Schizosaccharomyces pombe: one gene and its partner. The gene in region 2 interacts genetically with the main gene of each other region. Each region holds a gene or a part of one and is shown on either strand. Other genes may lie near its edges.

What was found.
Region 1: mutations in mug58 (region 2) and idp1 together harm fitness less than expected from each alone (positive genetic interaction), as found in Schizosaccharomyces pombe (one large-scale study listed by BioGRID).

Annotation. Positions count from the first base shown.
Region 1 is NC_003424.3:3,228,542-3,233,834, reverse strand, and holds idp1 (isocitrate dehydrogenase Idp1), read right to left. Parts: upstream 2,456-5,293; 5' UTR 2,300-2,455; coding exon 980-2,299; 3' UTR 859-979; downstream 1-858. Other genes in the region: glucosidase I Gls1, read right to left, coding at 1-165; cbc1 (nuclear cap-binding complex large subunit), read right to left, coding at 2,911-5,002, 5,052-5,293.
Region 2 is NC_003424.3:361,002-365,965, forward strand, and holds mug58 (glycerate kinase), read right to left. Parts: upstream 2,857-4,964; 5' UTR 2,602-2,856; coding exon 1,768-2,601; 3' UTR 1,247-1,767; downstream 1-1,246. Other genes in the region: protein mug177, read left to right, coding at 556-873; rRNA (adenine) methyltransferase Bmt2, read left to right, coding at 4,549-4,964. UniProt on the Schizosaccharomyces pombe protein: Has a role in meiosis.

The DNA.
Region 1 (5,293 bases), 2.9 Mb from region 2:
AATTCCAACATATAAATTTGGCCTATACGGACCCCATAAAAACGAATCATTCGCTGCTTTCTCAATGTCTTCAACACTACACGAGACAAGTACGCAGTTCAATAGAAACGATAAGAGTCCAAATAAAATCCATCTCTTATTTCCGCCAAGCATGTCTGACACCATCGTTTGTGCTAGCAAAAGACTGATGATGGCCAGTGTTTTGTTTTGGTTAGTGTGTATTGCATGGCTAGCATGCTTCCTCTGGCATCCAACACATTATAGTGTCTTAACTAGCATTATGAATGCTACGTTAAGTTTTTTCCAAACGCTCACAGCCACACTGCAGCGCGTAAGATTTGGCTGCGTAAAACATTTGGAGCTAAGAACAAAGGCTTACTTTATTTATCAGTTTAACAGAAATTACAAGTAATTAAGTAGTAGCAGTTTTTAAAATGATATTTGTTACAACTTCATTGTATTCGAACATAATAGAAAGCATTTCCATAGTGATATACATTTAATGTAGTTGGGGTTTACGTCCATCAATTGTTTAGTTTATTAGCTCAGTTGTTGAATTTTAATATTAGACCTTTACCTAAATTGTTATGGCTCAATCAATTGCTAGATAAATATGTTTAAGTGGGTTTGAAGCAAAGCTTTAAAGAATCAAGATACATTTGTAGTCAATAAACGGCAAGAAATCCGAAAGATTTCAATGAATAAATGAATAATCATTCAGCTTTTTCCTTTACGTTTAAGGGGAAAAAATTGAAAAAAATTAGATAATAGTGTCATGGTCTGAATATGCATAAAAAATTTACAAAATTTCATGATTAATAGAAATGACTTCCTACACTCCACTGTTAATTGTAAAATAATATAAATGCACACACTTCAAAATAATTGTTTTAACAAAAAGTATCCTAGTAAAAACATGATTGAATAATCCAGAACTTAAACTTCAAAGACTCACTAATCAACAGGTCTAACACTAAAATTAGGCAATGTTGACCAATTCCGAATCGAGCTCGGACTTGACGGCATCCAAAAACTCGAATGTATCAACATAACCATTGGGAGACTTGCTGAGAAGGTAAAGATCCTTTGTCATAATACCCTTCTCAACGCATCGAACACAAGCATGCTCGAGGGCGTTGGCAAACTTAACTAAACGTTCGTTGCCATCTAAACGACCACGATGGGCAAGACCACGAGTCCAGGCAAAGATAGAGGCAATACTGTTGGTTGAAGTCTTCTTACCTTTCAAGTATTGCATGTAGTGACGCTGTACAGTACCATGAGCAGCCTCACTCTCAAAAGTGCGACCGTTGGGATGAATGAGGACAGAAGTCATTAGGCCTAAGGATCCATAAGCTTGGGCAACCACATCCGACATAACATCACCATCGTAATTTTTGCATGCCCAAACAAAACCACCATTGGACTTAATAGCTTGGGCTACCATGTCATCAATTAGACGATGTTGATACCATAAACCTAGTTCCTCAAACTTTTGCTTGTAATCAGATTCATATACTTCTTGGAATGTATCCTTAAATCTACCATCATATTTTTTCAAAATTGTATTCTTAGTGGAAAGATAAAGTGGCATTTTCTTTTGCAAAGCCATTTGGAAAGAACTGTGAGCAAATCCACGAATAGAGTCGTCAGTGTTGTACATAGACATAGCTACACCACTACCGTTGAACTCGTAAACATTGTATGTTTCTTTAGCAGAAGGATTACCTTTAGGGGTGAATGAAAGTTCCAACTTACCGGGGCCTGAAGCTACCAAGTCCGTTGACTTGTATTGATCTCCAAAGGCATGACGCCCGATACAAATAGGGTTCGTCCATCCAGGAATATACTTGGGAATGTTTTTGATTAAAATGGGCTCCCGAAATACTGTACCATTCAAAATGTTACGAATGGTACCATTGGGAGACTTCCACATCTTCTTGAGGTTATACTCTTTCACACGAGCCTCATCAGGAGTAATGGTGGCACATTTGATACCGACATCATTTTTGAGGATAGCTTTGGCTGCATCCACAGTAATTTGGTCGTTTGTCTTATCGCGAGCTTCGATTCCAAGGTCATAATAATCCAATTTAATGTCCATATATGGGAGAACCAACTTTTCACGAATGATCTTCCAAATCACTCTCGTCATCTCATCACCATCCATTTCAACGACTGGGTTTTTAACAGTGATCTTTTGAAAAGATTTGCTTGAAGCCATACGCATATTCATGAAACCACGGCCTGCGGCAGCCAACTTGAAAGGTGCCTTTACGGCAGCACGTACTTCCAACATATTGTGTCAGTTTTTTTATCCTTTAAAGTAAATGAAATATTCGACGAAGCTAAGTTGAGAAGGAGTAGCTGTGCAAATGTCCCTTAAATCCTAGTTCTATCCACCAAACTGCCTCTGTTCCTCACTACTTCTTACAATAGCACAAAGTGGTTGGTTAAGTGTAAGTTACTGATGGCAGTAGTGATTTTGTTACATTTTAGCAATCCTTTCGTTAAACTGAGAAAAGATTTAGTCACTTCTGATATCGGAGATGTGAGTGAACATTTCGCTTATCCATTCGCTCACATAGTATGACACTACGCAAAACTAGAACCGACAAGTCGATCGTAAAATATCTTATCTTTAGATATCCGTTACCTCTGATAGATCTGATAACCCTGTTACCTATAAAATTGAAATCTTCGTTTCTAGTAACTTAACTGTGAAGTGCAGCAGCGTCCTACAAGTGCTTATGAAAATGGGACGTTATAATTAAATATTTAATATAAGCTATATCCACGTTCAAACGTTGTAGCAGATTGACAACGTCGTGATTACCAGTCGAGTTCTTCAGTTTAATCTTTTTGATATCAAAACAACACTTTCTTCATTTTTGTTATAGACTACTTTCTTTATTTTTCCTCATTAGTTGCATCAGCTGCTGTTTGATTATTTTCTGATGGCTGCTCATCTACTGCGTCGACGGGTTGCATTTTTGTGTCTTCCTGTTCCTCACTGGTATTTTCTTGAACAGGCTCGTTTGCTTCTTCTATCGTGTCCTTTTTAACAGAGAGGAAATTTGATTCCACATATTTTAACATAAGGTTAAGCCAATGAGATACCCATATATTTTCAGCATTTTCGGAAATAAGGGCGCGCAAAGCTGACAATAGTAAATTCGTGACAATTTCCTTTTCCTCATTCGCTTCATTGATTAGCGAAGAGTCTTCTTTGTTAGAAACCGAACGCCGCAATCTAGCTGCTAATTTATTAAAAGTGGTGTTAACAAGTGACCACGTATAACTACGAGACCATATAGTCACGTCTTGCTTGATCAACCACTCAATAATAGAGGTAATACTAATTATAGAGTAGTTCAGCATTTTATCTAGCCACATAACTGCGTTGAACGGTTGTAATTTCCAAAATGAAAAAAGTTCATCAACAACCTCTATTTCGGAATCTAATGATTTTCGAGAAAAATGTTTCAATGTATTAAGATGTTTCTCGAACACGTTCAATGCGTGCGAAAACGATCTCGAACCCAAGCTATAAGCACAAGACATAACTAATCGGACAGCAGATGTCTCGGAGTTTTGAATCTCCTCGCTCTGCAAAATAATGTCAAGTTCTTCTAACGGTTTATGTAATCTCAATGCTTCGATAATTTGACTTGACTGTTGATATAGCGGATGAGTCTCATTTTCGTACACGAAATTGGGACCCGACGGTTGTTCGCCAAGCAAACAACGTAACTCTTCAGGGAGTGAGTCAGAAATTCTTGTGTAATAGCTTAAAATAAGTTCCCTAGTAATAGTTTCCCGCATAAAAACTTTTTTTGGATGAAGATCGTCCAGCTCAACGTCAGGAATCCACTCATTCCACTTCCAGTGAAAGTTGAAATTACTAAGGTGATGTGAAAACCAGTCAATAAATCGATCAAGTGTTTGTAAAGGTAAATCAGAAGACATGGTATACATTAGCCGAATGACCCTTCCAAAAGTTGGAGCCAAAATTTTAGGAGCGATACGGCAGCATTCAATCAAAAGCGAATGATAATAGACAGGTTTATACGTAGTATTCTGTGAACCAAGAAGCTCACCCAAAACAGCTTCAACTATGATATCTTCTGCTTTCCAACGTGATTCCGATGGATCTAAATTTGGTAATTCATTTACTGGAGTACCACGAAGAGCAAAAGTTTTGTAGGTAAAATAAACATCTAAATCTGTAAGAACTTGAGCAGCCTCAACTCGGTTAAATTCCAAATGGTTTATAACATCCACACTTATATCACGAAATATGCTGGCTGCAACGTCGGAAGCGTCAGGAGTCGTGCGAATTTCAAAGTTATTAAAAAGCTCAAAAAATCTCTTGAAGGAAGGTAGCTCATTTTGCTGAGGAGTGGGCTGAAACGTCCATTCAGGAATACTTGGGCTAACCGGAACAATATGAACGAAATCAGATTCAAAAAACTTCCAGGGTTGAGATATATAAGGAAAAGTAAAGTCGTTTTCCCGAGATAGAATTAGTTGTTTATAGAGTAAGTCCAATTCCTCCTCTGAAAGATTGTCATGTATTGAAAGGGGATTACTTAGAGTTATCGAAGATTTCCTATGACGAACGTAAATCTCACATTGATCCAGTATCTCATTAGCAAAATCCTTTTTACCGAGATCGTTGTTAGCTGCGATGAAATATGGAAGGTTTATCAAAATTATGCGCAGGAAATTATCTCCCCAGACACTGGGTTTGGTTTCTTTTGAGATAGCGTCAGCCAGTAATGAAAATAGTGGCTTAAGGGTACCTGGTTGAAGTGCAAATGACATGCAAATGAGCATTCGTAGATCGACTTTAGCCTCGTAATAAAGAAAGGAGTTTAAATTCGTAAAATACTGTAAACAAAAATACGCAGCTGCTTTTTCTAAGATTAAAGGAACCCTTAATGAGGCTCTTATAATTAATGTAGCCAAATGAGGTATTTTGACTGGAATGATAAATGCACTAAGGATTAAATTAGTTTTCTGAAGGGACAGTATAAATTATCACTTACGTTGTCTGAATGCAATCTAAGATAGTTGAAATGGTTTCAGGATCATTAGCTTCACGACTAAGAGACATAGCAACATAATTAATGTCATCAGCAGCTACTGAATTTCCTCGAGGATCCGCCAAAAAGGTAATATCCTTTTTTATACGCGCTGCAAGTAGCTCTTGAGAGTTTCCTCTATGGGGACGAAATCCATAATTCTCTCCCTCTCTCGTCCTCTTTCTGGGTCGAGTTGATCCCCGATA
Region 2 (4,964 bases):
AAACGTGAACGTAAAAATAAACGAGGCCGAGAAAAATAAAAGATAAACAAAACAACAACTAGATGAAAATAGACGTAGAAACACTCTTCCTTTGATAAATGAAAGAGCTAATCAATTCAACTGAGTGCGCAGATACACTCACTTCTACTGTAGACGGGGCGCAAAGACAGATATAGCGCCAACAAAAAAAGCCGACAATAACAAGGACAAAAAAATTCTACTTGTCCGTATACTGTGCAGTTACTATTCTTAGCTTGCAATTAAAGAATGCAAGGTACTAGTACGATCGTTCACCTAAAGGGTTACTTTATGTGATAGTTGTAAAGGAAACGATATCTTGGCTTATATATCGCTGGTGATTTACCAAACAGCGAAAAAATCATCTGAGGTAAACTCACGCCATTTTTTGGCATACAAATTTTATCAGCGGATTAGCCATTTACAGTTCAAAGATTACGATTTATATATTTTAAATGGCTCTCAAAACTCTTTAGATATTTGGACTTCTTTTCACATATACCTATTTTCGTTTGTCCATAGAGGCAAGGCTTGGAAATGTACCCAAAGATAGTGGCGAGGTGCATGATAGTGATAACTAAAAATAGGGAATCAGAACGCAATGTGTTAATTTGTTATCGAAATGTAACGAATGTTTATTTTTCGCTCCGAATTCTCCTAAATCGGCAAAATGAAGGGAATAATTGCAAGTATAAGCTTGTATTTTCTCTGTATCGAGTATCTTTCAGACGGATGAGGCTGAATGATCGGCAACTCTCTTGCGTAGAAAGCGTTACTAACGGGATCGGTTTACTGTGCCTTAAACAAGCCGACCAAGTTTGTCTATTTACTCCGACGGTTGATTCCCATCTGTGATTGCATCTTTTATCCTTCATATTGAGTCATCCTGAATGGTCCGCTCAAAGGGAACTTCGTCTATCTCGGTGCGCTTAATAAACGCTTGTTTTCGTGATGAACAAACCCTTTGCAGTGAACCCATGACCTTAATCGTTTCAACTTGACATACGGCCAATGAGCGTAGTGACATTAAATAAGAGTATCGAGTTTTTTCTTCTTTTTCCACTTTTCAAATTAAGCTAAATTCAATGTTTCGTTGAGTTTCTGTATGTAACAGCATATGAATGGCATGTGGTATTGGAAACAATGTGAAAGCGGATATCAATATTGCATTCGTTTAAATTACTGGTTTTTATGACCTCACATACAATCATTAAAACGGCTTTCGACTACATGCGACCAACAGGCTTTCACCATTGTTTTGTTTTTATTCATTTCCTTTTACCTACTGCTATTTTATTACTCGCTGGTATCATTATTTCATGACTACTGGCAATAAGCATATCAACAACCGCCCACCGAATATCACATTATTAAAAATGCTTGATATTTCTAGTTAACAAACTTGTACTTAAAGCGTCACAACCGAAGCAAACCAATAAATAGCGAAAAAGGCTATTCGCCATGGGAGCATTTATTAGAAACGGTGAATTGTCGAACGTGATAGCAGCGCATTGTTAAGTTTTACAAAGATGGTTTACATCGTCTAAAAGCAGCTTGCTAGAAAAAGCATACAACAATATCATAAAAAGCTTTTGTCGGTCAAACCTTGATGGGTTACTTCAAAAGAAAGTTGGAATTAAAGAAAAAGTAGAGGTAAAAACTTTGTTCAAGGAAAGGGGGGAGCGTAAAAAGTATTCCAAAGTACAGGAACGCTATACAATCATGGGATTTAAATCTTAGACAAATACATCAATGCATAACAACAGGATATCGGTTCTCATCAAGTATGATTTCCAAACAGTGTGGATTCAGATGTACTTTATTAGATAAGGTACCAAGATAAAAGACATATTGGGGCATATAATGATTAACAAATTCAATGACTTCTTCATCACTCATACCCTTGTGGATCCGAGCTTTCAAAGCATGCTCTTGCTGCAGTCTCCATCTGTAAACATAGTTTATCTCTTGTGCCTCTAGTTCCACCAAAGAGTCAATTTTTTGAAAGATAGGCTGATAATCTGCAAGCTTTCTGTTTACCCACAGTAAACTTCCTTCAATATTTTGCCAACGTGTTGATCGTGCTCGGACAGACAGCATGCAAGAATCGAGCGGCTCAAACCCAACCATCCATCCTTCAAAAATTACATAGGTAGTTGTTTTAGGATTTGCCTTTTTCCATTGGGATTCATCTCCCCTATCTCCGTAGCCACCAAACTTGGATTTATCGTAAAAAGGGATAGATACCTCCTCATCGCTTCCCTTAACAAATGCATTTAAAACATTATTTAAAAATGTGACATCATGGGTTCCAGCTAAACCACGATGTTGAACAAGAGGATTATTGGGATTATTTTTGGCCAATTCAACTTGTTCTGCGTGCGTGAGGTAAAAGTCGTCAAGTGAGAACTTCACAACTGATTCGTTCTTCCTTGTTAATTCGGTATCTAAAGCACTTGCCAGTGTGCTTTTACCAGATCCTTGAGGGCCGGAAATTCCAAGAATAAAAGGACGACCTTCAGGTTTTGGCTGCTTTTCCAGGAATTTTAAAATTTTGTCGACAATGATTTCCAACGAACTCATATTCCACTTCTATATAAAATTTTTAAATTAAATACAAAACCTAGCTTCCCCTTAAAAACGACTTAATAACATAAGTATAGGAAAGACGTAGGACTAATACTCGAAATGTGAAAGAAAGCGAGGTGCTGTAGCTATATGAAAATTCAATGTTAAGTACCACAGTGACTAGATACTTTCGTAACGACTACCAGTAAAGGACTACAAACACAAAAAGCTTTTTAAAAGGCTAAAGTCGTTATGCAATGGTTGGATTTTACCAACAAAGTTTTGTTACGGGATGTTGTATCACTAACATTCCGTTACGTCTCATTTGTGCCAATATACTGAATGCTTGCGTAAACTCTGTAATACTTGGAAACGGCTTCACTGCGCCTCACTATTTGGAAAGTTGTAACGCTGTAAATGTTTTGTTTTTACCTATAAGTAAATAGAAGATACATAATAAAATTTGGTGATGCTCTGGATTTTCAGGGATAATAGAATTTCTGTAGTTATATTTTCTACAATGACGGCTAACTTTTAAATTGTTTAATCTTGATGCCATGCAGTATAGCTCAAATGCTGAAGAATTTAGGTAATATGCATTTTATACTTTGTCTTTAAATTGTCATACTTGTCTCTTGCGACTTTTATAGCTAAATAATAATATTCCAGTGCTAACGTATGTGTTTTTTCTATAGTAATCCAAAAAAAACACGCAATTTATTGTGTCAGTAAATAAAGTAACTTGTAAAAATAAGTTTAGCTGAAATGTACAACAATCAGTCCCCCATCCAATGCGATAGCAGCCGCAGTTACAAATATTATTTATATTTAATTATTACATTTTGTTTACAGGTACATAATGTTTGTTAACACTTTTTGTACGTTTAATTAAACTAAAAGTATTTATTTTTTTAACATATACTCTAAAAAATTAATTTACTCAAGTTTGAGTTATCAAGAAAATTTAATCTACAATAATTATTTTTGAAGCACTTATTTGTTTTAATAGTATATAGTCTGGTGAAACAATTAGAATTCGTCTGTAAGTAGTAAAAATACAAAAATGTTTCTATGGTTTTCATATCATAAATACTTACACTTCACCCGTTTAACTTAAAAACTTAAGGTAATCCGTAGTACACCAAATTCTTTTCTTTTCTTTTTTTATTTTTTTTTATTTTTTAAAATGTATTTTATTTAAGAAATAATAAATAAAGTCCCTTATCCAATTCCACTAGATATAAATCGTTAGTTTAGAATTTACCAAAATACTTTTCAATAGCTGTCGTATATACATATTTATACACATTTATTACTTTCTTTTAAAAATAACTTATATCAATTATATCGTAACGTAACTGATGAGTGGAATCATTTAAAACAATTTAAGAGAGAAGTTGATATTGGCTGTTTATTTATCCGAATTTTTTTATGTTATAGTTCTACCATATTTGGCGGTTGTTTTCTTTATTTTGATTATTTTTTAAAAACAATTGAAAAAGTTTAGTTAATAATCAAGTAAATCTAATAACTATATATACAGTTTTCAAAGCACAATATCAACTGAGGCTTCGTGGTGTAGTGGTAGCATACTTCGTTTGGGTCGAAGTGGTCAGGGGTTCGATCCCCCTCGAAGCCCAAAGCCTTTAAATTTTTGTTTCAAATATAAAAAAAGTTGATTTGTGCTTGTAAAGTACAAACCGTATAAAAAAAGGAAACCCGTTTAATATTCTGTGTAATGGTTAAAGGGTTGCATAAATTACCGCTCTTTAATTACATATTAAGAATTTATCATACATTGTCCAAGCTCTTCTTGTGCTGAATTTTTATAAGTAACGCGACACTACTTCTTTCATCGTAAAAACTTTTCAAGTAATTAGGAAACTACATTTATGAACCATTTACTGTAAATACAATTATATTTTCATCTGGGAGATTAACAAATATTTTATCACTATTTGAATGCGTCCCATTCCAGTGAAGAATCGCATTGGAAAAAACAACATTGATAATGCAAAGGGACTGAAGGGGAATAAGCTTATTCGTCATTATCATAACCTGTTAAAAGAGAAATCTCGACTTATTGCGTCAAGTGCTCCGATTGAAAAAATAAAAAATGTGGAAAGTGAACTCGAAAATATAGGTATTGATGCTTACCAACGAGCTAGTCGATCCGGTCAAGCGGAAGGAAAAGGAGGGGATTCAAGTAAAATATTGATAAAATGGATTCGGACAACTCCCTGTTTTTCGTATTGCGCACGTCTTAAGGAGCCGAAAGATTTGTTGGAAATTGGCAGTGTTTCTGTTGACAACAAATGTTCAACTTGTGGACTTTTCCGAGTTTCAAGGATTGATTTGCATTCTGTTCATCCCTTGAT